Elephas maximus indicus: one gene and its partner. The protein of the gene in region 1 binds, or shares a complex with, the protein of each later gene. Links are inferred from orthologs where the notes say so. Each region holds a gene or a part of one and is shown in the gene's direction. Other genes may lie near its edges.

Evidence for each region.
Region 2: the proteins of SMARCAD1 (region 1) and TRIM28 are in contact, whole or in part, in a crystal structure (PDB 6H3A), measured with the Homo sapiens proteins. The link is inferred for Elephas maximus indicus from reciprocal best matches to the Homo sapiens genes SMARCAD1 and TRIM28. Residues at the interface, in NP_001362784.1 of Homo sapiens: Asp156, Leu157, Ala160, Lys161, Gln163, Thr164, Glu167, Leu168, Phe169, Asp188, Gly189, Ala190, Ala192, Leu196, Ala201, Gly202, Gly203; in NP_005753.1 of Homo sapiens: Arg330, Trp333, Thr334, Lys337, Ile338, His341, Leu376, Lys377, Ile379, Val380, Asp381, Val383.

The regions. Positions count from the first base shown.
Region 1 is NC_064823.1:60,399,116-60,414,982, reverse strand, and holds the start of SMARCAD1 (SWI/SNF-related matrix-associated actin-dependent regulator of chromatin subfamily A containing DEAD/H box 1), read left to right. Parts: upstream 1-9,525; 5' UTR 9,526-9,613; intron 9,614-9,660; exon of another isoform or gene 9,661-9,954; intron 9,955-10,215; 5' UTR 10,216-10,263; coding exon 10,264-10,453; intron 10,454-15,867. UniProt on the Homo sapiens protein: DNA helicase that possesses intrinsic ATP-dependent nucleosome-remodeling activity and is both required for DNA repair and heterochromatin organization.
Region 2 is NC_064829.1:87,267,304-87,282,694, reverse strand, and holds the start of TRIM28 (transcription intermediary factor 1-beta), read left to right. Parts: upstream 1-10,102; 5' UTR 10,103-10,191; coding exon 10,192-10,522; intron 10,523-10,774; coding exon 10,775-10,887; intron 10,888-11,128; coding exon 11,129-11,261; intron 11,262-13,019; coding exon 13,020-13,155; intron 13,156-13,244; coding exon 13,245-13,361; intron 13,362-13,440; coding exon 13,441-13,555; intron 13,556-13,647; coding exon 13,648-13,794; intron 13,795-13,894; coding exon 13,895-14,009; intron 14,010-14,095; coding exon 14,096-14,202; intron 14,203-14,288; coding exon 14,289-14,325; intron 14,326-14,421; coding exon 14,422-14,470; intron 14,471-14,555; coding exon 14,556-14,808; intron 14,809-14,895; coding exon 14,896-15,215; intron 15,216-15,293; coding exon 15,294-15,391. UniProt on the Homo sapiens protein: Nuclear corepressor for KRAB domain-containing zinc finger proteins (KRAB-ZFPs).

The DNA.
Region 1 (15,867 bases):
TTGGAAATCCTAAAGGGCAGTTTTACTCTGTCCTATAGGGCTGCTATGAGTTGGAATTGACTTGACAGCAACAGGTTTGGTTTGGTTTTTTATTTCTCTTAAGGCATTATCTTTTATGTTGGTTTATCTATGTGTTCTAGTTTAATCTTCTGAAGGGCTTTTTTTTTTTAACTTCTATTTTTTGTTAAGTTCTGTCACCTCTTTTATGAGATTTTCTAACTCTGATTTATGTTGTTCTTTTACGGCATTTGGAATATCTCAGCTTAAATGAAGTTTTATCTGTGGTTATCTGTATGCTTAAACAACTTATCTAGGTATTAATATCATTTGTTCACTCAACAAATATTTATTGAGGATCTCTATGTACCAGGTATTGTAGCCTGAAGTACAGCTACACTAGCCAATCACCAGATGCATAAAGGAGAAATACTTATTCCTTTATGTAACTAAAAATTTGAATTTGTTTGTTATGCAACAATAGCTGATTAATATACTGCATTTATAATTATTCATCCCAGCTGTTTCAAATACTTTTACGCCATGAATTCTTCATTCTTGAAACCCTAATTTTAACCCTGTCAGTTGAACTCATGTTTTAAGAACATTTTAAGGAAGGTATGTTTTGAAGGAATTGAGAGTTCAAGTCTGTTTTTCTTTTGATTCCAAAACTTAATGACATATTAGTGATCTACAAAATTATTGTATCACAAGTTTTCCCCTCAGATTTTTTTTTACTAGAAAATTTTTGACTGTGCGTGTGCTTTTTAGGGTGTAGGCTTCTTTCTAAAAAAGGCTTAAATTTTTTTTTTAATTCTTGAAATTAAAAAAAAAAATCTCTAGAATATTTTTAGTGTATAGCCTTTTTTAATCAATCCTGTGTTGAATTCAGTAAGTTCCTTTACCTACAGACTAATGAAAGCTCATGAACATTTTCTATTCTATTTTTCATTATTTCTCTGTTAATTTCATGTGTTTGCATGTGCATGTGTATATGTGGGTGTGTTTCTTTGGTTAGGCCAGTTACTCAAAGATTGGTTCTCAGTCATCTAGCTCCTACTGATTTTATCACTGTCTTCTCTCTGTATTCTGGGGGTATGCAAGCAGGGAGGGTGGATTTCAAGCATTTCTTCCAATAATTAATTTTTACTGTCACTTTATTTTTTTTAATTGTGCTTTAAGTGTAAGTTTACAATTCAAGTCAGTTTCTCATACAAAAACTTATACACGCATTGTTATGTGACCCTAGTTGCTCTCCATACAATATGACAGCACACTCCTACTTTCCACCCTGTATTCCCATGTCCATTCAACCAGCTCCTGTCCCCTTCTGCCTTCTCATCTTGCCCCCGGACAGGTGGTGCCCATTTAGTCTCATGTATCTACCTAAGCCAAGAAGCACACTCTTCACTGGTATCATTTTATGTCTTACAGTCCAGTCTAATCTTTGCCTGAAGAATTGGCTTTGGGAATGGTTTTAGTTCTGGACTAACAGAGAGTCCAGGGACCATGCCTTCAGGAATCCCTCCAGTCTTAGTCAGACCAAGTCCAGTCTTTTTACTAGAACTGGAGTTCTGCACCTCACTTTTTTACCACTCCATCAGGGACTCTCTGTTGCGTTCCCTGTCAGGGCAGTCATTGGTGGTAGCTGGGCACCATCTAGTTATTCCAGTCTCAGGCTGATAGAGTCTCTGGTTTATGCAGCCCTTTCTGTCTCTTGGGCTCATATTTTCCTTGTGTCTTTGGTGTTCTTCATTCTCCTTTGCTGCAGGTGGGTTGGGACCAACTGATGCATCTGAGATGGCCGCTTGCTAGCTTTTAAGACTGCAGACGTCACTCACCAAAATAGGATGCAGAGCATTTTCTTAATAAAGTTTGCTATGCCAATTGACCTAGATGTCCCCTGAAACCATGGTCCCCAGACCCGTGCCCATACTACTCTGTCCCTTGAAGTGTTTGCTTGTATTCAGGACACTTCTTAGCTTTTGGTTTAGTCCAGTTGTGCTGACTTCCCCTGTATTGTGTGCTGTCCTTCACTTCACCTAAAATAATTCTTGTCCACTATCTAGTTAGTGAATACCTCTCTCCCTCTCTCCCCACCGTCGTAACCATCAAAGAATGTTTTCTTCTCGGTTTAAACTTTTCCTTGAGTTCTTGTAATAGTGGTCTCATACGTATTTGTCCTTTTGCAACTGACTAATTTCACTCAGCATAATGCCTTCCAGGTTCAACCATGTTACGAGATGTTTCACAGATTCGTTGTTCTTTATCTTTGCGAAGTATTTCACTGTGTGAATATACTACAATTTGTTTATCCATTTTCTGTTGATGGGCACGTAGGGAGTTTCCATCTTTTTGCTACTGAGAACAGTCCTGCAGTGAACATTCTGTGCGTGTATCTATTCGTGTGAGGGCTCTTATTTCCCTAGGATATACTCCAAAGAGTGGGACTGCTGGATCGTATGTTACTTCTATTTCTAGCTTTTTAAGAAAGTACCAAATAGATTTCCGAAGTGGTTGTACCACTTTGCATTCCCACCAGCAGCGTGTAGGTGTTCCAGTCTCTCCACTACCTCTCCAAAATTTATTAATTTGTGTTTTGTGGAAAAAAACTGTACATATCCTGTCCATATCCTTTACCCATTTTTTAATTGGGTTATTTGTCTTTTTGTTGTTGAAGTTCTGCAGTGTCTTGTAGATTTAGAGATTAGATGCTGATTGGATATGTCGTAGCCAAAATTTTTTTCCTAGTCTGCAGTCTTTTTAATCCTTTGATGAAATCTGGATGAACATAATTGTTTGATTTTTAGGAGCTCCCAGTTATCTAGTTTCTCTTCTGGTGTTTGCGCACTGTTAGTAATGTTTTGTATGCTGTTTATTTTATGTATTAGGGCTCCTAGTGTTGTCCCTATTTTTTCTTCCATGATCTTTATCATTTTAGATTTTATATTTAGGTGCTTGATCCATTTTTGAGCTAGTTTTTGTGCATGGTGTGTGGTATGGGTCTTATTTCATTTTTTTGCAGATGGATATCCAGTTATGCTGGTACCATTTGTCAAAGAGACTGTCTTTTCCCCAGTTAACAGACTTTGGGTTTTTGTCAAATATTGGCTTTTTTTTTTTTTTTACATAGGTAGGTGAATTTACATCTGGATCCTCAATCTTGTTACATTGGTCTATGTATCTGTTGTTGTACCCGTAACAGGCTGTTTTGACTACTGTAGCAGTATAACAGATCCTAAAATCAGGTAGTGTAAGGCCTCCCACTCTGTTTTTCCTCTTCAATAATGCTTTACTTATCTGGGGCCTCTTCCCTTTCCATATGAAGTTGGTGATTTGTTTCTCCATCTCATTAAAAAATGCCATTGGAATTTGCATCGGGATTGCATTGTATCCGTAGATTGCTTTGGATAGTATAGACATTTTCACAATGTTGAGCCTATCCATGTGCAAGGTATGTTTTTCCACTTATGTAGGTCTCTTTTGGCTTCTTATATCAGTGTTTGCAGTTTTCTTTATATAGGTGTTTTACATCTCTGGTTAGATTTATTCCTAAGTATTTTATCTTCTTGGGGGCTATTGTAAATAGAATTGATTTGGTGATTACCTCTTCAATGTTCTCTTTGTTAGTGTAGAGGAATCCAACTGATTTTTGTATGTTTATCTTGTATTCTGATATTTTGCTAAAATCTATTAGTTCCAGTAGTTTTCCTGTGGATTCTTTAGGGTTTTCTGTGTATAAGATTATATCATCTGAAAACAGAAATACTTTTAATTCTTCCTTACCAATTTGGATGCCCTTTATTTCTTTTTCTTGCCTTACTGCTCAGGCTAGGGCCTCTAGCACAATGTTGAATAAGAGTCGTGATAAAGGGCATCCTTGTCTGGTTCCTGTTCTCACGGGGAATGCTTTCAGACTCTCTCCATTTAGGATGATGTTGGCTGTTGGCTTTGTATAAGGGCCCTTTATCGTGTTGAGGAATTTTCCTTCTATTCCTATTTGCTGAGAATTTTTATCATGAAGGGGTGTTTTACTTTGCTGAATGCTTTTTCTGCATCAATTGATAAGATCATGTGGTTATTGTCTTTTGTTTTATTTATATGGTGGGTTACATTGATGGTTTTTCTAATGTTGAACCACCCCTGCATACCTGATATGAATCCACTTGGTCATGGTGCATTATTTTTTTGATATGTTGTTGAATTCTATTGGCTAGAATTTTGTTGAGGATTTTCACGTCTAAGTATATGAGGGATATTTACATATGGTCTGTAGTTTTCCTTTTTCATGGTGTCTTTACCTGGTTTTGGTATTAGGGTTATGCTGGCTTTATGGAATGAGTTTGGAAGTATTCCATCCTTTTCTATGCTCTGAAATACCTTTAGTAATAGTGCTGTTAACGTTCCTCTGAAAGTTTGGTAGGATTCCCCAGTGAAGCTGTCGGGGCAGGGCTTTTTTTGGGGGGAATTTTTTAATTACTTACAATCCCTCTATCTTTATAAGTTTATTTAGTTGTTCAACCTCTGTTTGTGTTGGTTTAGGTAGGTAGTGTGTTTCTAGGAATTCATCCATTTCTTCTAGGTTTTCAAATTTGTTAGAGGACAATTTTTCATTGTATTCTGCTATGATTGTTTTAATTTCAGTTGGGTCTGTTGTGATATCGCCCATCTCATTTCTTATTTGGGTTAATTGCCTCCTCTCCATTTTTTTTTTTTTTTTTTTTTTTTGTCAGTTTGGCCGATGGTTTATCGATTTTGTAGATCTTTTCAAAAAATCAGCTTTTGGTCTTGTTGACTCTTTCAATTGTTTTTCTCTTCTCTATTTCATTTAATTTTGCTCTAAATTTTATTGTTTGCTTTCTTCTGGTGCCCGAGGGCTTCTTTTGCTACTCTCTATTTGTTCGAGTTGTAGGGTTAATGCTTTGATTTTGGCCCTTTCTTCTTTTTGGATGTGTGCATTTATTGTCATAAATTGACCACTGAGCACTGCTTTTGCTGTGTTTCAAAGGTTCTGGTGGGATGTGTTTTCATTCTCATTTCATTCTGTGAATTTCTTTATTCCGTCCTTAAGTTCTTTTATAACCCAGTAGTTTTTGAGCAAGATGGTGTTCAGTTTCCATGTGTTTGATTTTTTTCCCTCGCTTTTTCTGTTATTCATCTCTACTTTTATGGCTTTATGGTCAGAAAAGAAGCTTTGTAATACTTCGATGCTTTGGATTCTGTTAAGGCTTGCTTCATGGCCTAATATGTGGTCTATTCTGGAGAATGTTCCATGTGTGTTGGAAAAGAAAGTATACTTGGCTGCTGTGAGGTGGAGTGTTCTGTATATGTTCATGAGGTCAAGTTGGTTGATTGTGGCATTTAGATTTTGCATGTCTTTATTGAGCTTCTTTCTGAATGTTCTATCCTTTCACCAAAAGTGGTGTGTTGAAGTCTCCTACTATTATTGTGGAGCTGTCTGGCTCTCTTTTCAATGCTGTGAGAGTTTATGTATTTTGGAGCCCTGTCATTGAGTGCATAAATATTTATTATGGTTATGTCCTCCTGATGTATTGACCCTTTAGTCATTATATAGTGTCCTTCCTTATCCTTTGTGGTGGATTTTACTTTAAAGTCTATTTTTCAGAGATTAATATTGCCACTGCTACTCTTTTTTGGTTGTTGTTTGCTTGATATATATTTTTCCGTCCTTTAAGTTTTGTTTGTGTCTTTAAGTCTAAGGTGTGGCTCTTGTAGGCAGCATATAGATGTCACTGCTCACCTCACCACACAGGCCAGCTGATCCAGACTGCTGGATGCCGGTTCCTGCTGGTTAAGGTCTGGCAACTCATCTCTGCTTCTGAACCATCTCTTCCACCCCTGCTGCTCAGTCTGATTCCTCAACTTTGCCTTTGATGTTCGTTATATATAATCTATTCACTTGTTTTTTCAGGTGTTTGTTGTAAGAGGGACCACAGGAAGCATCTGACTACTCCATCGTCTTTGCTCCACCTCTTTATTGTCGCTTAAAAAGAATATGTTAGGTTTATTGAGGTATAATTTATAAGAGGTAAAATTCACCCTTTTTAAGTTGAAAAAGATTTGACAAATATATCTAGTCACAACCACAGTCAGACCATTCTGGGAAAGAGTAGAGGGAGACAAGAGAGGGCCAAGGACTGAATGTTGGAGAATGATAATATTTAGGATCAGAAAGAAGGCGAATTCAAGGAATGGTTCACAGTCTTTTTTTCAGCCCCAACTCTTGCTATTCTTCTAGACAATTTCAGGTACAAAAAGAGAAACTCTCCCACAAGAACGTTCTCTCACTTTCTGGCCCCATTTACTTTCTGTTCCACCATCAAGCAAAACCCCAATCATGGATCGATCCAAGTCTCCCAAGTCAATGAATGCTGCAGAACAAGCCTACCCTTAGAACTGGGCAAGGTGAGTCTCTGTAGTAAACTCAGTGCTTTAGAGAGCTCAATCTGGCTCTCTTTCAGTTGTGCCCTACCACACTGGGCAAGGAATCTGTGGGGCCATAAAATTTGGCCACTCAGAAGCTGTGCCTTGACTTTTAGATAATGCTTTAAGTACCAAGCAGGCTAAGAGATAATTTCCCCCAGGTCTTTCTTACTGAGGGCCAACAGTGCTGCCTGTATATGTATCCCTAGGCCCAACATATAGCCAAGAGGCCACTAGGCTGAAGAGGTGACCAAGGAATGGGTCGGAGTATAGTTTCCAGGTAAAACCAAGATACCCTGTTAAATCTGGATTTCAGAGAAACAACAAAAAAAATTTTAGCATAAGTAATTTCCAAATATTGCATGGTACATACTTAAACTAAAAAAAGCATTCACCGTTTATCTGAAATTCAAATTTAACTGAGCATCCTATATTTTGTTTTATAAATATGGCAACCCTAGGTGGGGTCAGAGTTGGATACGCATGAGCGCAAGGCCCCTATTGTGTGTGCCATCAAGCTGCAAGCTGATTCCGACTCAGCAACCTTATATGACAGAGTAGAACTGCCCCATAGGATCTCCTAGGGTATAATCTTTACAGGAAGGAGCCCTGGACGCACAGTGTTTAAGCACTCAGCTGCTTACCAAAAAGTTGCCAGTTCTAATCCAGCAGCTGCTTCTGGAGAGAGAGATGTGGCAGCCTGCTTCCATAAAGATTATGTCCTTGGAAACCCTATGGGACCGCTCTACTCTGTCCTATAGGGTCAGTATGTGTCAGAATTGACTCAATGGCAACAGGAATGTTTAGAGGAGCCTATCACCAGATGTCTTCTCCCGTGGAGTCGCTGAGTGGGTTGAAACTGCTGACCCTCTGGTTAGCAGCCATGTGTTCAACTGTTGCGCCACCTGGGCTTCCTACAAGGCCTCTAAAACCCATTGCTGATGAGTCGATTCTGACTTATAGCAACTATACATACAGCACAAAGTACAGCTGCTCCATAGGGTTTCCAAGTCTCTAAATCTTTACAGAAGCCAACTACCACATCTTTCTCCCATGGAGTGGCTTGTGGGTTTGCACTGGCAACCTTTTGGATTGCAGCCTAGCATTAAATCATTGTGCCACCAGAGCTCCTTTTAAGGCCCCTAGAAAGTAAGTAAGTAGTGGTATCAAATTGAGCAGGAGGACGTGATAGAAGGAATGACGGATATGTGGGCCAACCAATTCTCCTTGAATCATCCACATTCTGACACAATAGAAATTTGAAGTTAACCTGGCCTTCTATGTCATTTTCAAAATAGGAGGATAGAATTTATTTTAATATTCTGTTAGTTGTGTTTATAATGTTTAACATAAAGTTTATAACATTTAACATGTGGGTCTACATTTTTACACTTGCCCCAACTCTACAAATGTCAAGGGTCTCCCAGCTACAGAAAATCATACTAATATGTCACTATCACTGTGAAGCATGTTTAAAAGATGAGGAACCTAAGGCTTAGAAAGGTTATATAACTTGCCCAAAGTTATTTAGCTAGTGGAATCCATTTTCAATCTCAGATCTGTCTGCATATAATGCAAACATATACTCTTAATTACCAAAAATAATTTACTATTTATAAGTAAACATATGCTTTGATCACATCATTAACGTGTGTATCAAGCTAATGCATTTCATGGATATCAAAGATAGATATAATGGAGATTCTCTTTGTTTATGCTTTGATTCTACATTTTATGGGTCCAGACACTTGATTATCAGTGTGCCGGCATTTGAAAAAACTGTGGAATTGTGTTATAATTATATAATTCACAAGACTGATTTATAACATAGAATGCAGATTTAAGTTTATAATGATCAATGTATCTGCAGGGTAATTATGTGTATTAAGTCCTCTTCAAGGGAAATGCCAACCAGATCAAGTTACGGCTCAGAAAAATGGAGGTTTAATCTAATGTTAGAATAAAGGGAGCAAATATTCTTTTTTTTTTTTTAATAATTTTTATTGAGCTTTAAGTGAACGTTTACAAATCAAGGGAGCAAATATTCTTAAAGCAATATTTTACCCAAGATAGGTGAATTAATTGTCACATTTCATTGTAAGAACAATCCAGCCAACAATGGGGAGGCAATTCATATGCTTTGGAGTTCAACATACCCACTAACACACACTAATTAGCTACTTAACGGTTTTAAGTCTGAGTTTCCTTATTTTATGAAAATAGGTTTCTTGTAAAGATTTAGATTTGTCTAAGAAGAAAACTGCTTTGTTAGAACTGAAAGCAAAGAGTTTTATTGAGGAATAGTAGTTTGAACGGGGCAGCACATCGGTCAAAGTACAACGTGCTCAGATTAGACAGATCTTTCAAGGTCTTATATAAAGAAATATCATGAACAGGTACTTTTTCTGAGACGACGAAACTTGCATTGTTCTGCAAATACTTTTTGAATTACTTTATATAGGGCTTGTGTTCTCCAGTCATAAGAACACAGCATTTTAAAAATAATTTTTCAGTTAAATTACATATCAGTTAATCTATAGACCTCTTGGAGCCTGCCTGCACAAGTACCTTGCAAAAGCAGGTGCGGTTTCTATAAACATTCTTGTCACAGGCTTCCTGGAACCTTATGATTGCCATCTTAACCACATACCTTCCAAGAACAGCCGCAGTTTACCCCCTCCTCTCTGTCCTTCCAGAGTCAGTGTAGATTAACCCATTACTGTGACCTCGGCCCGAACTCCCCTATTTTTGTGGCCCACTGACACGTACGGCATTTAGCTAACTACTATTATGATGATGTGTATACAATATAATGTATTAAAATATATAAAATATATTAATTATATTACACAGCATATATTATTATTATGCTATTTATTACATTATTTTACAATCCTCTTGCTAACCACACACACACACAAAAAAACAGGATAAATGCGCGTTTTCCAGGCGAGGCGAATACGAGTTACCATGACAACACAGCGCGCCTAGACATTTTCCTCTCTTGGGTCGCCGGGGAAGAAAAAAAAAAGCCCAGGTTGCGTGTTGCGTCATCACTACGCGCTCATTTGTGTTTCTCCGTAAAAGGTCCCGGCCCGGCTACCGTCGCCCCACGCCGGCAATTATTTTTTTCTTTTCAACGTTTGTTACATCGCACGGAGGCTACCAGGCCGTAAGTACCGCGAGGTGAAAAAAAACAGATCCAGCAAGTGAACATTAAAAAAGACGCTCTGGCACAGCCCCCACCTCTGGAGCTCCTTGTGTGTTCTTGATCCTATCAGCTTCCTCTCAACCGGGATCGTGCCGCGTCAACTTCCGGGCGGGTGCCCGCCAGCACGGCCTCCGCCGCTCCCCTTCTTTGGCCCCTTTGTGTCCCCGCAGTGTCGAGACTCGGGCCCTGGCACGTCCTCTCTCTCGAGACTGGGGGCTCGGTAGTGCAGGGAGTCTTTCGCTGTGGGCGGGCGCGCGGCCCGCTAGGGGGTTAGATTGAGGAACGTGCCTGCGCATGCTGGGGTAAGAGGAGGTTGCACGAGGGTCAGCTTGTGGTTCGAGGAAGGAGGGGCGGGGGACGAAGGGGAATGAAACGAGCAATGGAAAATAAAAAGAGATGCCCTGTTCACCATCTGATTGTTGTGGCCTAACAATGAGGCGCAGCCATAATAGTCGTCCTGAGACACTGGCATGTTTGCAGGCCCTTTATTGCCTCGGGAATGAACTGCTATGGCTTTGTGTTGTTTCATGGTTTCTTTTTCTTTTTTTATTTCCCTGTTGCAGATAGTTTATTCAAAGTCCCAACCACACAGCGTGGTGGTTGCTACCAATATGAATCTTTTCAACTTGGACCGTTTTCGCTTTGAGAAAAGGAGTAAGATTGAGGAAGCCCCCGAAGCAACCCCCCAACCCTCCCAGCCTGGCCCTTCTTCACCAATTTCTCTTAGTGCTGAAGAGGAGAATGCTGAAGGGGAAGTTAGCAGGGCAAGCACTCCTGATTCAGATGTAACTGAAAAAACAGGTGAGTTACAATGTTGCAAATTGGTGTATCACCGAGAAATATTTCAAAAAGATGAGAAGTGAAAGGGATTCTGTATATTATTCTCGGTGTCATATGCACTGTTGCATTGCCTTCCAAGTGTGCCCTTTTAAAAACAGCTTTGGGATTGCCATAGGCACCATGTAGCTCCAAATGAGAACCCATCTATATTTTCTTCACTTTTATATGAGGATGCTTGATACATGGCCCAATGATGGAAGTTGAAATTAGCATTTAGACCATTTTTAGGCCTATGAGTCGGAATGGATTCCACCGCAATGGGTTTGGTTTTCGGTTTAGGTCAAAATGGAGCCCTGGTAGCATAGTGGTTAAGAGTTGGGTTGGTAACCAAAATGTAGGCAGTTCGAAGCCACCAGTGGCTCCTTGGAAACCCTATGGGGCCGTTTTACCTTGTCCAATAGGGTCACTATGAGTCCAAATCGATTCCATGGCAACGGATTTTTTTTTTTTTTAAGGTCAGAATGGTTGCTACTAGTAAATGAACCTAGGCATTTCAGCCCATTGATAGATTTTGCAGCTGTCACTTGCCTAGAGGTATTCATTCATATTCTGCCATTCCTTCATAAAACATTAATCACTTACTTTGAGTTAGATGTTGTGTTAGGTGCCTGAAGAAAATTTCTGTGCACCAATGAAGATCAAATTACTTTCAGATGTTGCCACCACCAGATTCTGGAGATCCGCAGGGTGCAAATGAATAATTGGGATTCTTTATGATGAACGAACAATTTTTTTTTCTTCAACAGTTTGACACAGACAACAGGATTTGAGAAAAAACTGAATATTAAAATTTTCATTTTAACCTATGTTCATTAAACGGTTAACAGTTAGAGGCATGTATATCAAGCTTTTACTATTTTTTAGGCATAGTGCCAAGTGCTTCACATTTAATTTAATTTGCACAGCAATCTTAGGGATAGGTTTTATCCGTGTTTTGTAGAAATGAGACTTAGAGAGATTAAGTAACTTGCCCAGTATTACTCGTTAGGAAGCTGGTAGAGCCAGAACTCAAATCCAAGCAGAGTATAAACTCTTATTTTTTGCATGGTTTTCTATGAAGTAGAGATCTTAGTGGGATGAAAGAAAAGTTAGACATTTTATTTTAATGTTTATTCTGGTAAGGCTGTTTTTTACGCAAAACCCAATATTTCATGTGCAGTGTTTCAGTGAATGTGGTACTGATAAAATGGGTAATGTTCTCACCTTGATATCCGAATTTTCTTTGCAGCTCTTACATATAAGAGTAATGTCATTTGGGATTAGGTTGCCTACAACTTATCATTAGAATAACATTTCTAAATACTTTGGCAGAGTTAGAATATGGTGGAATGATTTGGCAGATTGGGTTAAGAGGTAATTATGAGTCAAATTTTGAAGGGCTTTGACTGTTTAAAGAATTTTGAACTTGTCTGAATGCTGTGGTGAACCACGGAAAGATTTTAAACACAGGAGTGACATTTTATCTTTGTTCTTTCGACAGATACCTGATTTCCCTTACAGATGCTGTAGTTGATGTCCGAACATCTAGATACTTAAATATTTTTTACAGTGAATATATTCATTTGTTTCCTATGTAGTTAAGAGACGGCAAGGAAGGCCAGGGTTTAGCTATGGGATGTTGAGTCCTTAGAAGTCTCTGTTTTGTTTTAGTTAAATGTACAACACTAGGCAAGCCACTTAAAATCTGGGATCCAGAGTTTTTTCATCTTTAAAAGTAAAAGCACTTTATAAACTGGAATTCATGGAATGTTTTAGTTATTTCTCAATATTGGTAGTGTAAAATTCTTAATTGCTTTTTTTAGTCATATTTTTCTACTTTAATTTTTTTTTTCTTTCTGAGTAGACTTCACTCCTGTTTTCTTTGTTGGACTTGTGTTTTCATTCATAAGTGTTTCTTAGTAGCTGAGATTGCCTTTAGGGATCTCATGGTCAGTCTTGATGACATTGGGAAATAAATGAAAATTAAGTTTGTTCTAGGGATGGTGATAGTCTAGTGGGAGTGGTGGGCTTTCCTTTGAGAGAAGATTATTATAGGTGATTCTGTGAATTTTGGACAATCTTGAAAGTCGAGGCTTAGAAATTTAGACTTTATTTTATAGGTACTAAACCACAAAAAAAAAAACAAAACCCATTGCCGTCGAGTTGATTCGAACTCATAGCAAACCTACAAGACAGAGTAGAACTGCCCCATAGAGTTTCCAAGGAGTGCCTGGTGGAGTCAAACTGCTGACTTTTTGGTTAGCAGCAGTAGCTCTTAAACACTGTGCCACCAGGGTTTCCTTATTAAAAAAAAAAAAAAAAAAAAAAAACCAGTGCCATCAAGTCAATTCCGACTTATAGCGATCCTATAGGACAGAGTAGAACTGCCTCCATAGAGTTTCCAAGGAGACGTACTAAAAATAGGTACTAGGGATCCATTAAAGACTTTTTGGATAGACTGGTAAAACAATGAAAGGAAGCTGTTTTGTAAAAAAAAGCCAAAAGTAAAGAAATCAGTTATGAAGCTTTTACAACCTGAACTTAATGATGGCAGTGGAAATGGAGAAAAGAATATATGAGAGAGATCTCACAGCAAGAAAAGACACGACATTACAACTAGATCTGTGGTAGGAATGAGGTAAGATGAATGTTAAGATAGTTTAGGTAATTGAAAAAACAATGAGGTGCTGTACATCAGAATTGGTGTTGAGAACCCATTGCAAGCTATTGGGTAATTCTTTTCAATATTTAAAAGACAAAGGTCCTGTCTTCAATTTAGCATGTTGGGAGAGAAGGTTGAATTTGGTGGTGGGCCCGTGGTGAGGATCAGATGCTAAAAGTTAGAACTGAAGTCATGATTGGAGATGGAGATTGGGGAATCATCAGTGGGGTATAAATATTTTATTTGTCTTCGTTCATCATCATATGATAACTTTTTATACTGCATTATTGTACAATGCCATATTGGTTTCTATTGGTAGAGTGTTAGGATTTAAGTTCATAACACAGAAATTGTATATAGTCAAAATTAACTGCAATCACTCTTTTTTTTTTTTAGCTAATCTTGTTGTTTTACCTAATACGAGCTGAATTTATTTCCTACTAAAGTTCAGTTACTGTGCCACAGTCATACACTGTTCCTTGAGCATACCGAGCACCATCGTATCTCTGCTGCTTCCTATTTGCTGTTCCTTCTGCCTTGAAGACCCTTCATGCTGTTATTTGGGTATAATGCCGTCATTTCATTTAGTGTTAGTGAAATTTCACCTTTTTAGAAAGCCTTCTCTAATCACTCTCTGAAATAGATCCCCCTCCTACCACTTTAAGGATTCTTGGTGGTGCAATGGTTAAGCACTTGGCTGCTAACCAAAAGGTTGGTGGTTTGAACCCACCCAGTGGCCCCTCAGGAGACGGGCATGGCAATTGGCTTCTTTAAAGATACCAGCTTAGAAATGCCTATAGGGCATTTCTACTGTCACATGGGTTTGCTAAAAGTTGAAAATTGAGTCCACAGCACACAAACAACAATCTACCACTTTATTTTTTATTAGTATCTATCACTACCTGACATAACGTATTTGTGGTTTTGGTCTTCCTCACTAGAATATAAGCTCCATGAGTGATTATTCATCCCCAGCATTCACAATGGCCATTGGCGTGTAGTAGGTCCCGAGTAAATATGTGTGCAAGCAAGGAGTATTTGATGGATGGATAAGTGGGTAATTTTAGTACTTTATACATATCTTGTAATCTCCTCCTCCTCTTTGTGACCTTGAAACAGCCTCCTAGCCATTAGGCATTCTTCAACCATGGATACTTGCTCTTTGATGGGACAGGCTCCCTAACACTGGTCTAAATACAAGGTCTGGATTTGAGGGCACACACTTAACCTGTGTTTTTTTCCTCTCCAGGTTGACTTTGCTCTCAGTGTGCAGAGTTATCAGTGGTTGTCATCTACACATTTTTCCCTTTTTTTCTTTGATTTTTTTTTTTCTGTGTATAGTGAGTTTGGGGGCAATTGATAAGAGTAGATGAGTGAGAAAGGGGAGAACCTACTATGTTTTAGGCATAAAGGATAGAAATACGAGCAAAGCATGATCCTCGAGCACCAGGAGGGAAGGACATGTAAATATCTGATTAAACTAGTACAGTGTGATAAATCTAATAATAAGGGGAAGTACTAAGCAATGTAGAATCACAGTCTGTGATTCACAAATGATTAATTACCCATTCTTTCTCAGGAGAGTCAGAAGTCATGGAGAGGTGACCTTTGGAGTGGACCCTAAACCATGAATCATTGTTTTTTGGTTGTGTATGGGACGAAAGGGTTGAAAGTGTACGTTGGCTCAAAGAAAGTGTCTGTAGTATGTGTATGGGGGTACTATCTATGGAAAAAGAGGTTCAAGGCACTATAGATAAAACTACAAAGGTAAAAGTATAAACTTCTGGGTTGTGAGGTATCTGGACTTTATTTGATATACCCTGTAAAGCATTTCATATGAGAAGACGATTAATGAAGCCTTTGCATTAATTGAAGCCTAAATGCAGGCAAATGATAGTAATGATGGAGAAGAAGCAATTTAGGAGAGTTTTATAAGACATGTATTTGATGGGATTTGATCAGTTAAGTATGGAAAATTTAAAGATAACTGTTCCTTGCTTGATCAGCTGGGTAATTGGCATTATGAACTAAAATAGGAATTAGGTTCAGAAGGAAAATACTAAAACATTGAGTTTGAATACCTGCCATATCTCAGTAGAAAGATTGAGTTGGAAATTAGAGTTTGGAGCTAAGAGTGTGGTCAGAACCTGAGAAATAACTTGGGAGTCATCATTGCAGTAGATACTGGAAAATGTCTTAAGCAGGGTGTACAGAGAGAGGCATCAACATTAAGTGATGAACAAAGGAAGGGAAAACAATGAAAAATATCAAAGAAGACTAGAATAGTAAGAGAAAACGATAGTGTCCTGGAAGCCACAGAGATATGAGCATTTCCAATTTGGTAAATGGTTGCTGTTGTTGATGTTGTTGTTAGATGCTGTTAAGTTGATTGCAGCTTGTAGCGAGCCTACGTACAATAGAATGAAACACTGCCTAGTCCTGTGCCATCCTCATAATTGTTGTTAGGCTTGAACCCATTGTTGTAGTCACTGTGTCAGTCCATGTCGTTGAAAGTCTTCCTCTTTTTCGCTGACCCTCTACCAAACATGATGTCCTTCACCAGGAGCTGGTCCTTCCTGATAATATGTCTAAAGTATGTGAGACAGCCTTGCCATCCTCACTTCTAAGGAGCATTCTGGCTGTACTTCTTCCGAGACAGATTGGTTTGTTGTTCTAGCAGTCCATGATATAGTCAATATTCTTTACTAGCGTCATAATTCAAAGGCATCATTTT
Region 2 (15,391 bases), on another chromosome or scaffold:
AGCAAGCAAGAAGCAGAGATGAGGAAAGAGAATCCAAGTCACATGAAGATCTCCCAGGAGCAGAAGCTCAAAGAGACAAGGACCTTCCTCCAGATCCAACAGAGATGGAAAGCCTTCCCCTAGAACTCACACTCTGAATTTGGACTTCTAGCCTCCTAACCTGAGAAAATAAATTTCTGTTTGTTAAAACCACCGATTTGTGGTATTTCCGTTACAGCAGCACTAGATACGTAAGTCACCACGCGTGCCAAGCACATATATGGGCAGAGGAAGCAGCAAATGCAAAGGCCCGAGCAAGGTGGGACCAACAGGTCAGACCATGTATCTGGTGCAGACCCCAGGGCCCTCATCAGAATCTGATTTTTTTTTTTAATTGGGATAAAAATACACCAACATAAAATTTACCATTTCAAAGTGTGCGATTCAGTGAGATTAAGAACATTCAGTGTTAATCAATCATCTCAACTATCTAGGTCCAGAACGGAATCTAATTTTTATTCTAAACCAAAAGGGATCACTGGAGGGTACAGGACAGTGACAATTCCTCATCCAGGTATAAACCCAGGGATATACCTACATAAGTGCCCTAGGTCATATGAAGCTGTCAGTCAAAGAATTGCAGGAACCACGGGCAGAGGGAGCAGCCACTTGATGTCTATCACTGGGCAAGGATCTATATGGTGGAGGCTGGCATGGCATTCTCCATAGTAAGGGGAAGTCCAGTCCATGGCCACTGGGATGCTCACATCCATCCACCAAGCCAGAGAGGGTGGGTGGTAGCACATGTGGAAGCCCAGAGAGGACAACGCTGGCCTGGGGAGGACAGTGGCGGAGAGTGAAAATGATGAAGGCAGAAAAATAACTGAATAAAAATACAAAGAAGAATTCCAGAACGGGCAAGTCCATTAAGAAAGTAGTATAGCGAGTGGCAGGAGCCATAACAAACGAGGCTGAGGGTGTAGTGGGTTGAATGGTGGCCCCCAAAAAGATATGTCCACATCCTAACCTCCAGATCCTATAAGTGTGACCTATTTGGAAATGGCTTTTGCAGATATAATTAATGATCTTGAGGTGAGATCAGCCTGGATTACTTGGGTGGCCCTAAATCCAGTGACAAGTGGAAATAAGAGCCAGAAGAATAGAAGGCAAAGGTCGGCAGTTTGAATCTGCCAGCTGCTCCTTGGAAACCCTATGGTGACATCTACAGGGTCACTATGAATTGGAATCAACTCGATGGCAATGGGCAGCATCCAGAAGTGAGGGAATGAATTTCTGTTGTTTTAAGCCTCTGAGTTTGTGTTAATTTGCTATAGCAGCTCTAGGAAACTTAAAAAAAAAAAAAAAAAAATTTTTTTTTTTTTTTTTTAACTAACACAGGGGTAAATGGGCGGGTGTGTGGGGGGGACGTGACTGCTCATACACATGGGATTTTGGGGGGGTGATGAAAATGTTCTGGTATTAGTGATGATGGTTGTTGTAAAAATGGTCAGATGAAGAGGCCTGAAGCCAGGAGGAGAGACAATCAAGATTATCTGCATCAGCCCAAGGCTGATTCCTTTTTATGTTGGTGAAAAAAGGTGTTTGCAATGAAGAAGTCATTGGTCTTGGAAAATTCTATCACAGGTTCTTCGGCATTGTTTCTATCACTGGGTTTGATAATTCCTTGCAATGGCCACAAAGAACTCACAGACAATAGTCACAATTACGGGGCTTATTAGGGAAGTAATAGGTTGCAATTCAGGTTCAGGAACACTCAAGATACTGTTCTGCCATCAGGACAGCCTCTTCCCAGCTGTGCTCACAGGAATACCTCTCTGGGCCTCAGCCTCTGCCCTGCTGGGGCAAGTGTTACAAAGCTCTTTTAGCTCTGCCAGCCAGCAAGCCTCCTGCCCGAAGGCACTCAGTGTTCTTGCTCCATGGCCAGGAAGTCCACTGAGCCATCTCCTGCCAGTCTCTCCTGTTGGTCTCTCCTGCCGCTGTTTCTTGCCATCTTCAGCATTACGGCTTTCTCTCTCCTTCTCCTGGTTCCTGGAGCTTCTCAGCGCGGGGATCTTGGATCCAAAGGATGCACTCTGCTCTCGGCCCTTCTTTGGTGGTGGTGAAATCCCCTCTCTGCTCCTGAGTTCACTTTCTTTTTAAGCCTAGTGGGGGATGGCAAAACTGAGCAATCCCCTTGGTGGGCTGCAATTACCTTATTTACACAGTCCCACCCACTCAGTTGGGTGGGAGTTACAAGATCATGGCCAGTAAGACCATACAAAAGCAATCCATTACACTGCACCCACCCAATCATTTTGTAGGAGTCAAAGACCATGTCAAGGAAGACCGCATAACAGGAATTCACAGCACTGCAGTTGTACACTTCTGTGAATATACTAAAAACCACTGAATTGTACACTTTAAAAGGATGACCTTTATGGCATGTGAATTATACCTTAATAGAGCTGTTATCATCATAGGGTCGCAATGAGTTGGAATCAACTCGATGGTAATGGGTTTGGTTTTCTGGTTTTGTAAAACTGTTATGGAAACCCTGGTGGCATAGTGGTTAAGAGGTATGGTTGCTAACCAAAGGGTCGATGGTTCAAATCCACCATACACTCCTTGGAAACTCTATGGGGGCAGTTCTACTCTGTCCTATAGGGTTGCTATGAGTCAGAATCGACTTAAGGGCAGTGGGTTTGTTTGTTTTTTAAAGCTGTGGGGTGGGGGAGCCTCAAGCAGACACAAGATGCCATCTGCGGGCAGTCCTGGGTATTCACCTTGGATGAGAACTCAAGCTGGTGTGGGGGGCCAGAGGAGCCTCCTCAGGAAGCAGCTTTGGGGGTAACATGTGAGAGTGGGCAGGAGAGCTTGGGAAAGGAAAAGAAGGCAGGGGTCAGGTGAGGCCTGATCCTGCTGGGGTGGTGGGGAGGTCTCACACATTGCTTCACCCCTTGAAGAAGACCAAGCCTGTATGCAAAGCAGGAATGTGGATTGTTGCCAGTGGTCCAGAGCTGGGAAGGGAGAGACATTGTAAAGGGTCACCAAGGAACATGGACGATAAGAGTGCTGGGTGCACAGGTGTGCTGTACAGCTTTACTATAATAGCAACTAATGGACACAAAGTAAAGTATGTGCCTTAGGGGGAGATGATCGCCCTCTGAGAGGCTGAAACATTTATTGTCTATCTTAGTGGGGGGAAGGAGAAAGGCTGGTTCACCGAGGCCAGTGAATCTAGAACTGTTAATCAGGGGATGGTCACGTACTCTGAGCAGAGGCAATGAGTACCGTCCTTGCCCACAGGGGGCTTTGCCTTTTATTCCCCTACTCTCTGTACATGCTTTTTGGCACATAGTCATTGAAGCTTGAAGCTCGCTAGTATATTAACTCTGGGTGAGAGGAACTTCGGGGTTCCTCACCCATGGTGCAAAGTGAGGCATGCTTGGATGCAATCATAACATTTCACCCTGGGATGGGAACCTAACTTTGGAGAAACTTGGCTGCTGCTGCTGTTTTTCTGCTCTACTCATTGCTGTCCTGTATACTCTGTGAATAATAAACACCCATTGATCACACAATTAGAACAGTGTCTGGTCCATGCTCTCCTCCAAGTAGTTCTTCATACTAAGAACTTGTGAACTTGGTACATTGCAGACAGTGTGTAAGGTGACAGTGACTGCTTGGCTGGGCCCCACTGGGGGACTGAGCCAAGGTAAGGAAGCTAAATGGGGTGTCTTCCCACACACGTGTTCATGCCACGCACCTCTGGACCTCGGAACAGTCTGGCTCCTCAGACAGGACCCCTCAACAGAAGGTCCTGCCCTTGCCCCACTCTCCTGTCTGCCTAGACCCTGGGACACCTCTGCCTTTCCTGTGCCTGCTTGACTCTGGTTCCCAGCTGACTCCCACTCCAATGTTGTCCTGGCACTTCCCACAGCCTCAGTTTTCTAATCTGGACAATGGAGTTGGCAGTGACCCAGTAGCTAGTGGCCAGCGAACCCTCCAAGGACTACTACCAGGTAATATCCTGCTAAGTGTGATTGTCACATACTGGAGAGAAAGGTCCTGGGCCCAGAGAAGTCGGGAGCTTTAAAGATTACTGTACAGAAGGAAAACATGTGTACCCTGGGCCCGGAAAACTCCAGGACCGGTGGTCAGGGTCTAGTATTGAGACATTGCACTGGTGGGGTCACAAGGGACCCACCTATTCGCCCTCCTAGCTGTCCAGCCCAGCTCCCACCACTGAGCTGTCCATCCTGCCTCAGGGCCTTTGCACTTGCTGTTCCTCCTGCCTACACTGTCCTTCTTGCAGGTGTTTGTGGGCAGTGCTCTTCCCTGAGGGACTCCATCCCCATGCTTTAAAAAAAAAAATTTTTTTTATTGTATCTTCAGTGAAGTTGAATGAATAATTTCTTTTAGAAGGATCAGCACAAAGCTAGTTCCTATGAGGCAGAGGTTAAAGATGTACCAAATGTCCAACTTTTTTCAAATTGCTGTACCACTCCATCATCTCTAACACCAACTACTACTCCTCCCCTCAGTACTCTCTCTCCCATCATTGGATTCCATAATTTGCTGCAACATCTCGCAGAACTCATGAACTGTCAAGGAAATGGCTCACGCCGTTATGGAGGCTTGCAAAGTCTGAAATATGTGATTCAGGCATCAGGCTGGAGGCTTATCCTGACTCACATGGTTCCAGGGGCTGACAAACTCATATAGGCATGTCAGATGACAGGCTGCTCGCTCACAAGGCTGTGGAAACTGGCAAATCAGTGAAAATAGGCTGCTGGCTCAAGTTCCAAGAACTGGAGGTCTGATGATGACAAGCTAGATGCAGGATTCAGAGCAAGACAGAGAGCTTTGCCAGAGCATTCACATATATTTTGGATGCAAACCATACCCTCAAGGAAATTCCCCTTACTTGAGCAAGGATGTGACTTGAATAAGGGTGGTGACTGGGGTATGAATGGTAACTTGAGTCACACATTCTAGTAAAGTGGTGACCCAAGACACATCTCACCCTAATCCTCCCTTATTAACATAATGGACAACTTACTCCAAAATGGGACCATAACCATAAGCATAGAGGCTAGGATTTACACATTACAAAATGGAAAACAATTATATGAGATAAAAAATGGAGGACAATTATATCAGACCACAGAGGATGACTACATCATTACATAACTGCCAAATTATATTATTACATAAATGCCAAACCACTGAAAATCATGGATCAATGAAGTTGACACATAACCTTAATCATCACAGGTTCCATATACCTTATTTGCATTAGCAGCAAGCTGTCCAATCCCATTGGTGGGGCTACAAGCACCTTATTTGCATAGTCCCACCCAATCATTGTGTGGGAATCACAAGGATTATGGCTAGAAGGGCCATATTAAGTAATTCACTGCACTGCAGAAGATTTATACAACAGTTTTTTTTTTTTATTTAGGTTCCCATTCAACAATTTCTACACAAATTGTTCAGTGACATTGGATCAAGTACTTCATAATGTGTGAACATTCTCATTATTTTCGTTCTGGTCGTTCAGCTTGTGCTAGCAAATATTCAAAGTACAGAAGTATTCAGACTGAACTTACAAGGAAGGGTTACCCTGGACTACTCTTGGCCAACACATGGTGTTTTAGTTTGTTTTTTTTTTTTAGTGCTGCTATAACAGAAATACCACAAGCGGATGGCTTTAACAAAGGAAAGTTTATTCTCTCACAGTCTAGTAGGCTTAAAGTCGGAATTCAGGGCCCCAGCACTAGGGGAAGGCTTTCTTTCTCTGTCAGCTCTGGAGGAAGGTCCTTGGGATGCATCAGTTTTCCTTTGGTCTGGGACCATCTCAGTGCAGGAACCTCAGGTCCAAAGGGAGGAACCTCGGGTCCGAAGGACATGCTCTGTTCCCTGCACTGCTTTCTTGGTGGTTATGAGGTCCCCCACTCTCTGCTTGCTTCCTTTTCATTTTATTTCTTGAGAGAAAAAAGGCGGTGCAGGCCACATCCCAGGGAAACTCCCCTTACGTTGGATCAGGGATGTAACTTGGGTAAGGGTGGTGTTAGAATCCCACCCTAATCCTCTTTAACATAAAATTACAATCATGAAATACAGGACAACCACAGAATACTGGGAATCATTGGGGGACATAATTCAATCCATGACATGTGGGACAGAAGGAGACATGGTGTTCGTTCTCAGAAGATATGTACCTAGAATGTTCCAGTGTGGTGCACTGGGTTGTTTTATATGGCCTTTTGGAAACCCTGGTTGCATAGTGGTTAAGTGCTACAGCTGTTGACCAAAAGGTGGGCAGTTTGAATTCACCAGGCGCTCCTTGGAAACTCTATGGGGCAGTTCTACTCCGTCCTATAGGTTTGCTATGAGTCAAAATCAAATTAATGGCAACAGGTTTTTTTTTTTTTTTTTCTCACCATGGTCTTGTAACTCGCACCAATAGACTAGTGGGACTATGCAAATGAGGTGCTTGTGGCCCACTATGGGGATTGGGTAGCTTGCTAATAATGTAAATAAGGTGCATGGCACTCTTAGGATGGGATGATGCAAAGAAGATGTATGGAACCCTAATGAGGGGATTGGTCAGTTTTGCCATCCTGTTAGGCTTAAAAGAGAGCCAATTCCTGAGCAGAGCAGGGACTTGACTACCACCAAGGAGAGATGGGTGTGGAGCACATCCTTTGGACCCAGGATCTCTGTGGTGAGACCCTCTTAGACCCAGGAGACAGAGAGAGCAGTGCAGAGAAATGGCGGCAGCAAAGGCAGCAGATGCAGGAGACTAGCAGGAGACAGACTGCTGTGTGTGCCAACTCAGTGAATGAGAAAGCTGAGCACCTTCTGGCAGGAGGCTTGCTGGTGGAATGGGGTGCCTCTGGGCACTTACTGGCAGAGCTAAAATAGCTTTGTAACACTTGCCCGAGCAGGGCAGAGCACAGGCTGAGGGGCCATGGGGCAGAGAGGCCAAGGGCCAGAGATAGACATGCCTGCAGGTACAGCGGTAAAAAAGCTGTCCTGACGGAAGAACTGTATCGTGAGTTGTTTCTGATCCTGAATTGTAACCTGTTACTTCCCTAATACACCGCTTACTCATGAGTATTGGCTGTGAGTTCTGTGTGGCTGTTGCAAGGAGTTATCGGACCTAGCAGAGGAGTAGAGGGTGCTGTGGGAGAGATGGTTGGTATCAGAACTGGTAAAAAGGTTGGGGGGTGGAAGCATGAAGGCTTCCTCCTCAAAGGAAACAGCCTTGGGCTGTTGATCTTGATTCTCCTTCCCCCTCCTGAAGTTAGAGGAGGTCAAACACCACCCCCACACCATTTTTACATCCAGGAAGCATGTGACAAAACTGTTCTAGAAAATTGCTTGTACAGACCGTTCTTAGAAAATGTATGTTAGAAAATTAACTGCTATGTGGAAAAAATTGTTCTGCAAGATATTTACGGTTTTAGCCATGTTGAACTTTAAGTATAAAAACTCCATCTTTTGTTCTGCTCAAAGGAGCACCTTGCACTTTCACCTTGAGCTGCCCAACTTGAGTTGCTTTATTCCTCAGTAAAACTTATTGTCTCTTACTCTAATAGAGTATAAGAATTTCTTCTTTCATAAGCTCCATTCCCACATCCTCTACCATCAATCTTTTTGAAGAGTCTCTAGGTGGTGCAAATGGTTAATGTGGTTAACATGCTCAGTTGCTAACAGAAAGGTTAGAGATTCAAGTCCACCCAGAGGTGCCTCAGAAGAAAGGTCTGGCTAATTACTTCTGAGAAACCATCCATTGAAAATCCTATGGAGCACAGTTCTACCCTAACACACATGAGTTTCCATGAGTTGGAACTGACTCCAGGCCAACTGGTATTTTGATCGCCCTTCCCTCCCCAGTGTCTGGTGGTGCAGTGGTTAAGTCGATTGACTGCTAACCAAAAGGTCCGTTGGAAACCACCAGAGGCTTCGTCGGAGAAAGATGTGGTAGTTAGCTTCTGTAAATATTTACAGCTTTGGAAATTCTATGGGGTCACTCTGAGTTGGAATCTACTCCATGGCAGTGGGTTTGGTTCTTTCCTCAGTGTTTGCCCCAGGGCTCAGGTTAGGGCATGGGTCACCCCTTCACCCCTGTGATTTTGCGGTCCAACACGCTCAGTGAATATATCTAAAGGATCCCCCACCTCACCCTGTGCGCCGCCAGCCATTCACATTCGTTCCGAATTATCAGAGGTGGCTGGGAGGAGGTGAGAAGGGGCCGGTCAGTGGGGCGTGGCCTTCACCGCACCGGGTGGAGCCGGGCAGCCTGCGGAGGGGGCGTGGCGGGCGATGACGCAGCGCAGAGGCGGGAGCAGGGCGGGGCCCGAATTTGGGGGGCCGGGCGCTGGGGCTGGAACAAAGGCAGGGGCGGGAACAAAGCTCTGCGGACCCCGAGCCCCGGAGAGGAACAAAAGGCAACCTTGGGCCAGCGGCCAGTCGCCCCTCCGCCACCGCCACGTGCGCCCGCACGGCTTGGGGAATGGAGGGTAGATGGCGCCCCCCACCCCGCCCCAAGACTGTCCGGCCCCCGCCTTAAAGTGTGCGCACTCTGGGGCTCCGGCCTGGGCTCGCTGACCCTGCTGGCCTACCCCATCCTCCAGGAAGCCTCCCTCCCCCAACCTGCCGTCGCATTTCAGACGCGAGGCCTCAGGACCCGAGGGTACAGAGGCAGGCCTTGTCATGCGCGCTGCGGTCACTGCGCAGGGGGCCAGGGCCCACTCCTAGCGCCATGTCCATCCCTCGTGTTTCTTGCGCCACTCTCTTCAGACAGGATTTCCCCTACGCCCCCAAGGCCGTGCGCTCCGTTTAGCACTCCCTCCTTAGCATTTTAGGATTCCCCTTCCCACAGGATCTGCCTCTCCCTCAGGCAGAATTCCACCCAGACAAACCCTGCTTCCATTCTCAGACAGCCTTTCTCCCCCCTCCCTGCCCCGACAGGATTTCCCACCACACACACCCGTTTCCACCCTCAGACAGAATTACACATACAGACCCTATTCCCTCCTCAGAGGATTACCCTCCCACCCACACACACTCAGAGTCTCTGTATCTACTGTCAAGATTCTCCCCTCACAGAGACTCTTTCCCCTCTCAGACAGGATTCTCCCCACCCAGATTCTGCTCCCCCTTCAGACAGGATACCCCGCACACACAGGCCCAGCTTCCCTTTTCAGACAAGATTTCCCCCACTGTTGAGGGTCGGGATGTCCGTCCCCCTAGAGGACAAATGGCAAAGCATCAAAGTCAGGAGAGAGGCTGGCTAGGAGATGGGGAAGGAGCGCCAGTGGAGGGCCGGGTGGGATTTCACGGACTCGCTGCTCCGTAACCCCTTGAGTTCTACATTTAATTTAAGTAGCTTTCTGTGTTTCTCATATTTATAGCAGAAAGGTTAAAGCCCCGAAGTGGCTCGCCCCTTTAGGAGCTGCCTCCTCCTCCGATGGAGCCCCGCCCACAGGCCCGGGCCCTTCCAGGAGCTATTGGTGACGCAGCGGCTTGGCGATATCTCTCGCCGGCCGAAAGGTGGGGTAAAATGGGGGGGGGGGGGTCCCGGGCTGCCCACGCACGTGCGCAGTACAGCGGGTAGCCTCGGTGCGGTCTGGAGGTGGGTCTGGAGGGGCGGGTAGCACGCGCAAGAATCGGTGCTTTCGCCCCGCCTGCCGCCGAAACTGCGGCGGTGACGTCTTGCGCCCCGCCCATGCCGCTCGAGTCGCGCCGAGGGGATGGTTGGTGGGGGGTGAGAGGGGCGCTTGCGTACTAGCAACCTCGCAGTCGGCGGCAGGCTCAGACCCCGCCCCCGGGCCGCAAGGTGCCCAGCGCGCGTGCGCGGAGGCGTCGGCGCCAGTTATTTCTGTCCCGCCCCCCAGCCGCGGCTCTTTCTGCGAGCAGGCGCGCGGGCGAGCGGTCGTGTGCGTGGAGCTGGGCTCGAGGGCGGTGTCGGCGGCTGTGCACGCGGCGGGCCGGCGGGGAGCGAGCAGGCAGCGGCCGGCCGGGCCTCGGCAGCGCCCCGCGCGCGGCGGGCAGCGGCCCAGTCGGTGCGCAGCAGCGCTCGGCCTCGCGGCGGCGGCGGCGGCCCAAGCAGCGGCGCGGCCGTTGGCGGCGAGCCTGTCTGCGCCTGCGCGGCAGGCCCCGTGCCCCTCCTCCCCCCTGGGCGCCCCCGGCGGTGTGTGAATGGCGGCCTCGGCAGCGGCGGCGGCGGCGGCGGCCTCGGCTGCGTCGGGTAGCCCCGGCCCAGGCGAGGGCTCGGCGGGTGGCGAGAAGCGGTCCGCCGCCTCATCGGCTGCAGGCTCGGCTTCGGCCTCGGCGTCGTCGCCCGGTTCGGGCGGTGGCGAGGCGCTGGAGCTGCTGGAGCATTGCGGCCTGTGTCGAGAGCGCCTGCGGCCCGAGCGGGAGCCGCGCCTGCTCCCCTGCCTGCACTCGGCCTGCAACGCCTGCCTCGGGCCTGCCGCACCCGCCGCGTCCAATAGCTCAGGAGACGGCGGCGCGGCGGGGGACAGCGCGGGTGAGTTCGCGGAGGACGGCCCCGGGCGCCGGAAGCGCTGCTGGAGGGGAGAGGTGGGGTCGGGGGTGGAAGCCTGCCTGGGGTGGGAATGGGGTCTGGACGCTGATATGGGGGCTTGCACGGGGGCTGCGTAGCGATGTGGGATTATCCGAGGTAGAGGATGGGCTTCCTGGTTGGGTGTGGGTACCCGGTTTCAGAGTCTATTGTGAGAATGGGACCGCCCAGACACGGTGTTTTTCTCACCTTTTGCAGTGGTGGATTGTCCCGTGTGCAAGCAGCAGTGCTTCTACAAAGATATCGTGGAAAACTATTTTATGCGCGACAGTGGTAGCAAGGCTGCCACCGATTCCCAGGATGCTAATCAGGTGTGTGTCTTGTTCTCGTCACTTCCAGGAGGCCTGTGGCTTTGGGTAGGCCCCGAGAGGAGGGGTCACCAGGCCAGGAGGAACATAACAGCAACACCAGGTGTTATTCTCCACCCCGCTTTTTGCTCTGGGCAGGCTGCCTTGGCTTGAGAAAGGGTTGCACGTTGTCTCAGGTAGTGCTTTGTTAGACAGGGAATCATTAGGTGGTCCCACTCCTTCTGATTCTGTCTTTGCCTAGCAGTGCTGCACCAGCTGTGAGGATAATGCACCCGCCACCAGCTACTGCGTGGAATGCTCCGAACCGCTTTGTGAGACATGTGTGGAGGCACACCAGCGGGTGAAGTACACCAAGGACCACACTGTGCGATCCACTGGTATATGGGGCAGATGGGGTGGCAGGAACATTCCTGGGTCTCTAGAGAGGGACGTGCAGAGGAGGCAAGTGTTTTAAATCTTCAGCTGCTGGTCACATCTCATGGCTGATTCCCTACGTGTTTCTTTAGGGGCTAGTTTCTGAAGGGTCCCAGGGCTAAGACTGCTTGAAAGCAGGAAGGTGGGGCTCTGGTGTGCAAGTTCCAGGGGTCCTGGTGGTAGGGAAAAGATCTTGGAGGATCACAGTGGACGTCAGTGAGCTTCATGGCATGAGGGAGTTGGTGGTCCGGGTGATGCTCATCATAGAGGCCTCCAGGCAGGGAGGAAGTGTGCTGTCGGAATAGGGCCTTCCAGGTGGAGGGAACAGCTTGCATAGTTGGGGAAAGGTGTGGTGTTTAATGAGGGATGTGAAGGGTCACTGTCTTGGGGTTCCCTGGCACCCTGGCTCGAAGCTTTATGTGGAAAGTGAGTCTTTGGGGCCAGGGCACATTGTTGAGCTGTGAGCGCCCATGAACTGTCAGTGACGGTGTGTCCCAGAGGCACTTCAGCTGCGTTCTGCCCAGGGTTCAACTAGATATTTACAGATTTTTTTGTGCACTGGTTCCTATGTGAAAAGGGGCTCGGGAATCTATTGTAGCTGGTTTTTATCCCCAAATTCCTCATGAGATGGGTTTTCAGGAGGTATCTTGTGATTCGTCATAGCTTAGCGGACAGCATCTGTGGGAAGATGAGAATGGAGGTGGCTGAGGGATGGACAGGGCTTTGCTGCGGGACCTGGGTCTGGTTGGAGATGTTGGTACAGTGAGGGGTCTAGGACCAGGTGGCCTATGCCTTGTGCTTTAGATTTGACAGGTGCAGCCAGGTTGTGATTGGCATTGGAAAAAAGGAAAGGGAGCATGTATAAGCAGCTCTCAGGGGAGGGGGCTGGGTTCATCTTTGTTCCTTGGGTGGCTTTACTCTGAGCACTGGGAATTTCTCCCAGAATGGCCTGATGCTGTCTGCGGGGTCCCAGTCCAACATCTTGTTTTTCCTGGATTCAGGTAAGCAGCTGTTAGGGTTCCTTTGGCCCATGGCTGGTAGGTTGCTTGTGATCTTAGAGAGCATGGTTTCTAAGGAAATTGTTCATGAATGAGCTCAGGCTTCTTTAGGCCCCCAGTTCACTTTTAATCCTGCACTTGGGGTGATAGCTCAGTGGTCAGAATCCCATTCTGTGGTGAAAGGATATTTGTTGTGGATGACATTGTTAGTAGGTGGGTTGGAGGAGTTTTTGGAGTCTGTCTGCCTAGGTAGGACGTATCCACGGAGGAAATGGCACAGGGAGGTGTCTTCTGGTAGAAGCCGTGTTGTTTGTTAGTGTCGTCCAGTTGGTTTCTTCTTACAGTGATTATTTGTGATGGGGTAGAACTGCCTCATGGGTTTTTGTAGGATGTAATCTTTATAGGAGCAGATCACCAGGTTTTATTCCTATGGAGTTGCTGGGTGGGTTTGAACTGCCAATTTTTCAGTCATGTTATTGGGTCTACCTCTGTTTATTCTGTGTTGTCAGCCCTACAAGTGGGAGGGCTTATAAAGATTTTGCTGGTCAGGTTGGGTTAGAGGGTGCTGGAAGCAAGATCAGGTTGCAGAGCTGCAGTCCCTGCCCCCACACTGCCATGTGCCCAGACTCCAAACCTGGCCAGAGGCTGCTCTGCGTGGCTCCGGAGGTGGGGGTGGCCCAGGCCAGGGTTCCCTGTGTCTGCCTCACTGTGTTCACTCCACAGGGCCGGCTAAGACGCGGGATGGCGAGCGCACTGTGTACTGCAGCGTACACAAGCACGAGCCCCTTGTGCTGTTTTGCGAGAGCTGTGACACCCTCACCTGTCGGGACTGCCAGCTCAATGCCCACAAGGACCATCAGTGAGTTTCGAGCCGGACCACGGTGGGCTGGATGGGCCAGTACCTGCTCTCAGCACCCTGTCCCCGGCTCGTCTCTTGTCATTCCACAGGTACCAGTTTCTGGAGGATGCAGTGAGGAACCAGCGCAAGCTCCTGGCCTCGTTGGTGAAGCGCCTGGGGGACAAGCATGCCACGCTGCAGAAGAGTACCAAGGAGGTTCGCAGCTCGTAAGTTGGGGGCACCGGGGCTGTGGAGGGGGGCGGCCCCTTGCCTGTCCAGTCTGACCCGCCCCAACCTTGTTCTCAGAATCCGCCAGGTGTCAGACGTGCAGAAGCGTGTGCAGGTGGATGTTAAGATGGCCATTCTGCAGATCATGAAGGAGCTGAATAAGCGCGGTCGCGTGTTGGTCAATGATGCCCAGGTGTGTATCCCAGTCCCACCTAGGGTGGGAGAATTCCAGCTGCTTTTCTCCTCCAGCCTGTTGATCCTGTGTCCCACCCCGCAACCCTGCAGAAGGTGACCGAGGGGCAGCAGGAGCGGCTGGAGCGGCAGCACTGGACCATGACCAAGATCCAGAAGCACCAGGAGCATATCCTGCGCTTTGCCTCCTGGGCCCTGGAGAGTGACAACAACACGGCTTTGCTGCTGTCCAAGAAGCTGGTGTGCTGGCTCTGGGGGGCTGTGGGGAGGTGGCCCCCCCATGCACAGGTGGCTTGCACTGCCCAGAGCACTGACAAGCCACCCATCCTACTCTGCCCAGATCTACTTCCAGCTGCACCGTGCTCTCAAGATGATCGTGGACCCCGTGGAGCCACACGGCGAGATGAAATTCCAGTGGGACCTGAACGCCTGGACCAAGAGTGCTGAGGCCTTCGGTGAGTCTTGCTTCCCTGCTTTTCTTCCCCTGATCCCATTCTTCAGGGAACTTTCTCTGCCATTGCTTACTCTTTGTCTCCCGAAGGCAAGATCGTGGCAGAGCGCTCGGGCACCAACTCCACAGGCCCTGCACCCATGGCCCCTCCGCGGGCCCCTGGCCCACTGAGCAAGCAGGGCTCGGGCAGCAGCCAGGTAAGGAGGGCGTTGGTGGGAGGAGGGAGAATGGAGCACAGGATCCTGAGGGCCATCACCTGAAGTCCCCCAATCTCTGCCCACAGCCCATGGAGATACAGGAAGGCTATGGCTTTGGGTCAGGTGAGTGGGTCATCAGCCTGGGCCCCAGCGCTGCTTGGGGGGAGACTCACACTGTTCCCACGCCAATCTAGTATCTCCTTTCCTCCATCTCCCAAGTAGATGACCCCTACTCCAGTGCGGAGCCTCACGTATCGGGTGTGAAGCGGTGAGTGGTGGCCTTGTGGGGCGGTAAGCAGGCCCAGTCGTTGGCTTGGTCTGGACTTAGCCTCATGGCAAGTTGTGCCTTGCAGGTCTCGCTCTGGTGACGGTGAGGTGAGCGGCCTCATGCGCAAGGTGCCGCGGGTGAGCCTCGAGCGCCTGGACTTGGACCTCACAGCCGACAGCCAGCCACCCGTATTCAAGGTGTTTCCAGGCAACACCACAGAGGACTACAATCTCATTGTCATCGAGCGTGGTGGTGCTGCCGCGGCTGCCGGTCAGCCAGGGACTGCACCCCCTGGAGCCCCTGGAGCTCCGCCCCTGCCTGGCATGGCCATTGTCAAGGTGAGTGTCCCCTGTGGGACAATCGCAGTAGGACAGCGCAGGGTGCCAAGCCCTGCTCACCATCGCTTATCCCTCTTACTGTCATAGGAGGAAGAGACAGAGGCAGCAATTGGAGCTCCGCCTGCTGCTGCTGAAGGCCCCGAGACCAAGCCCGTGCTGATGGCCCTGGCAGAGGGCCCTGGTTCTGAGGGCCCCCGCCTGGCCTCACCCAGTGGTAGCACCAGCTCGGGTCTGGAGGTGGTGGCCCCTGAAGGTGCCTCAGCCTCATCTGGTGGCCCAGGTGCCCTGGACGACAGCGCCACCATCTGTCGCGTCTGCCAGAAGCCAGGTGACCTGGTCATGTGCAACCAGTGCGAATTTTGCTTCCACCTGGACTGCCACCTGCCGGCTCTGCAGGATGTGCCAGGGTGTGTGGTGGGCTGGGTATGGGGCAGGGTGGGCAGGTCGGGGTCCTGTGCAGGCTCCTCATTGTCTCCCAACCCCAGGGAAGAGTGGAGCTGTTCACTTTGCCATGTGCTCCCTGACCTGAAGGAGGAGGACGGGAGCCTCAACCTGGATGAGGCCGACACAACTGGTGTGGTGG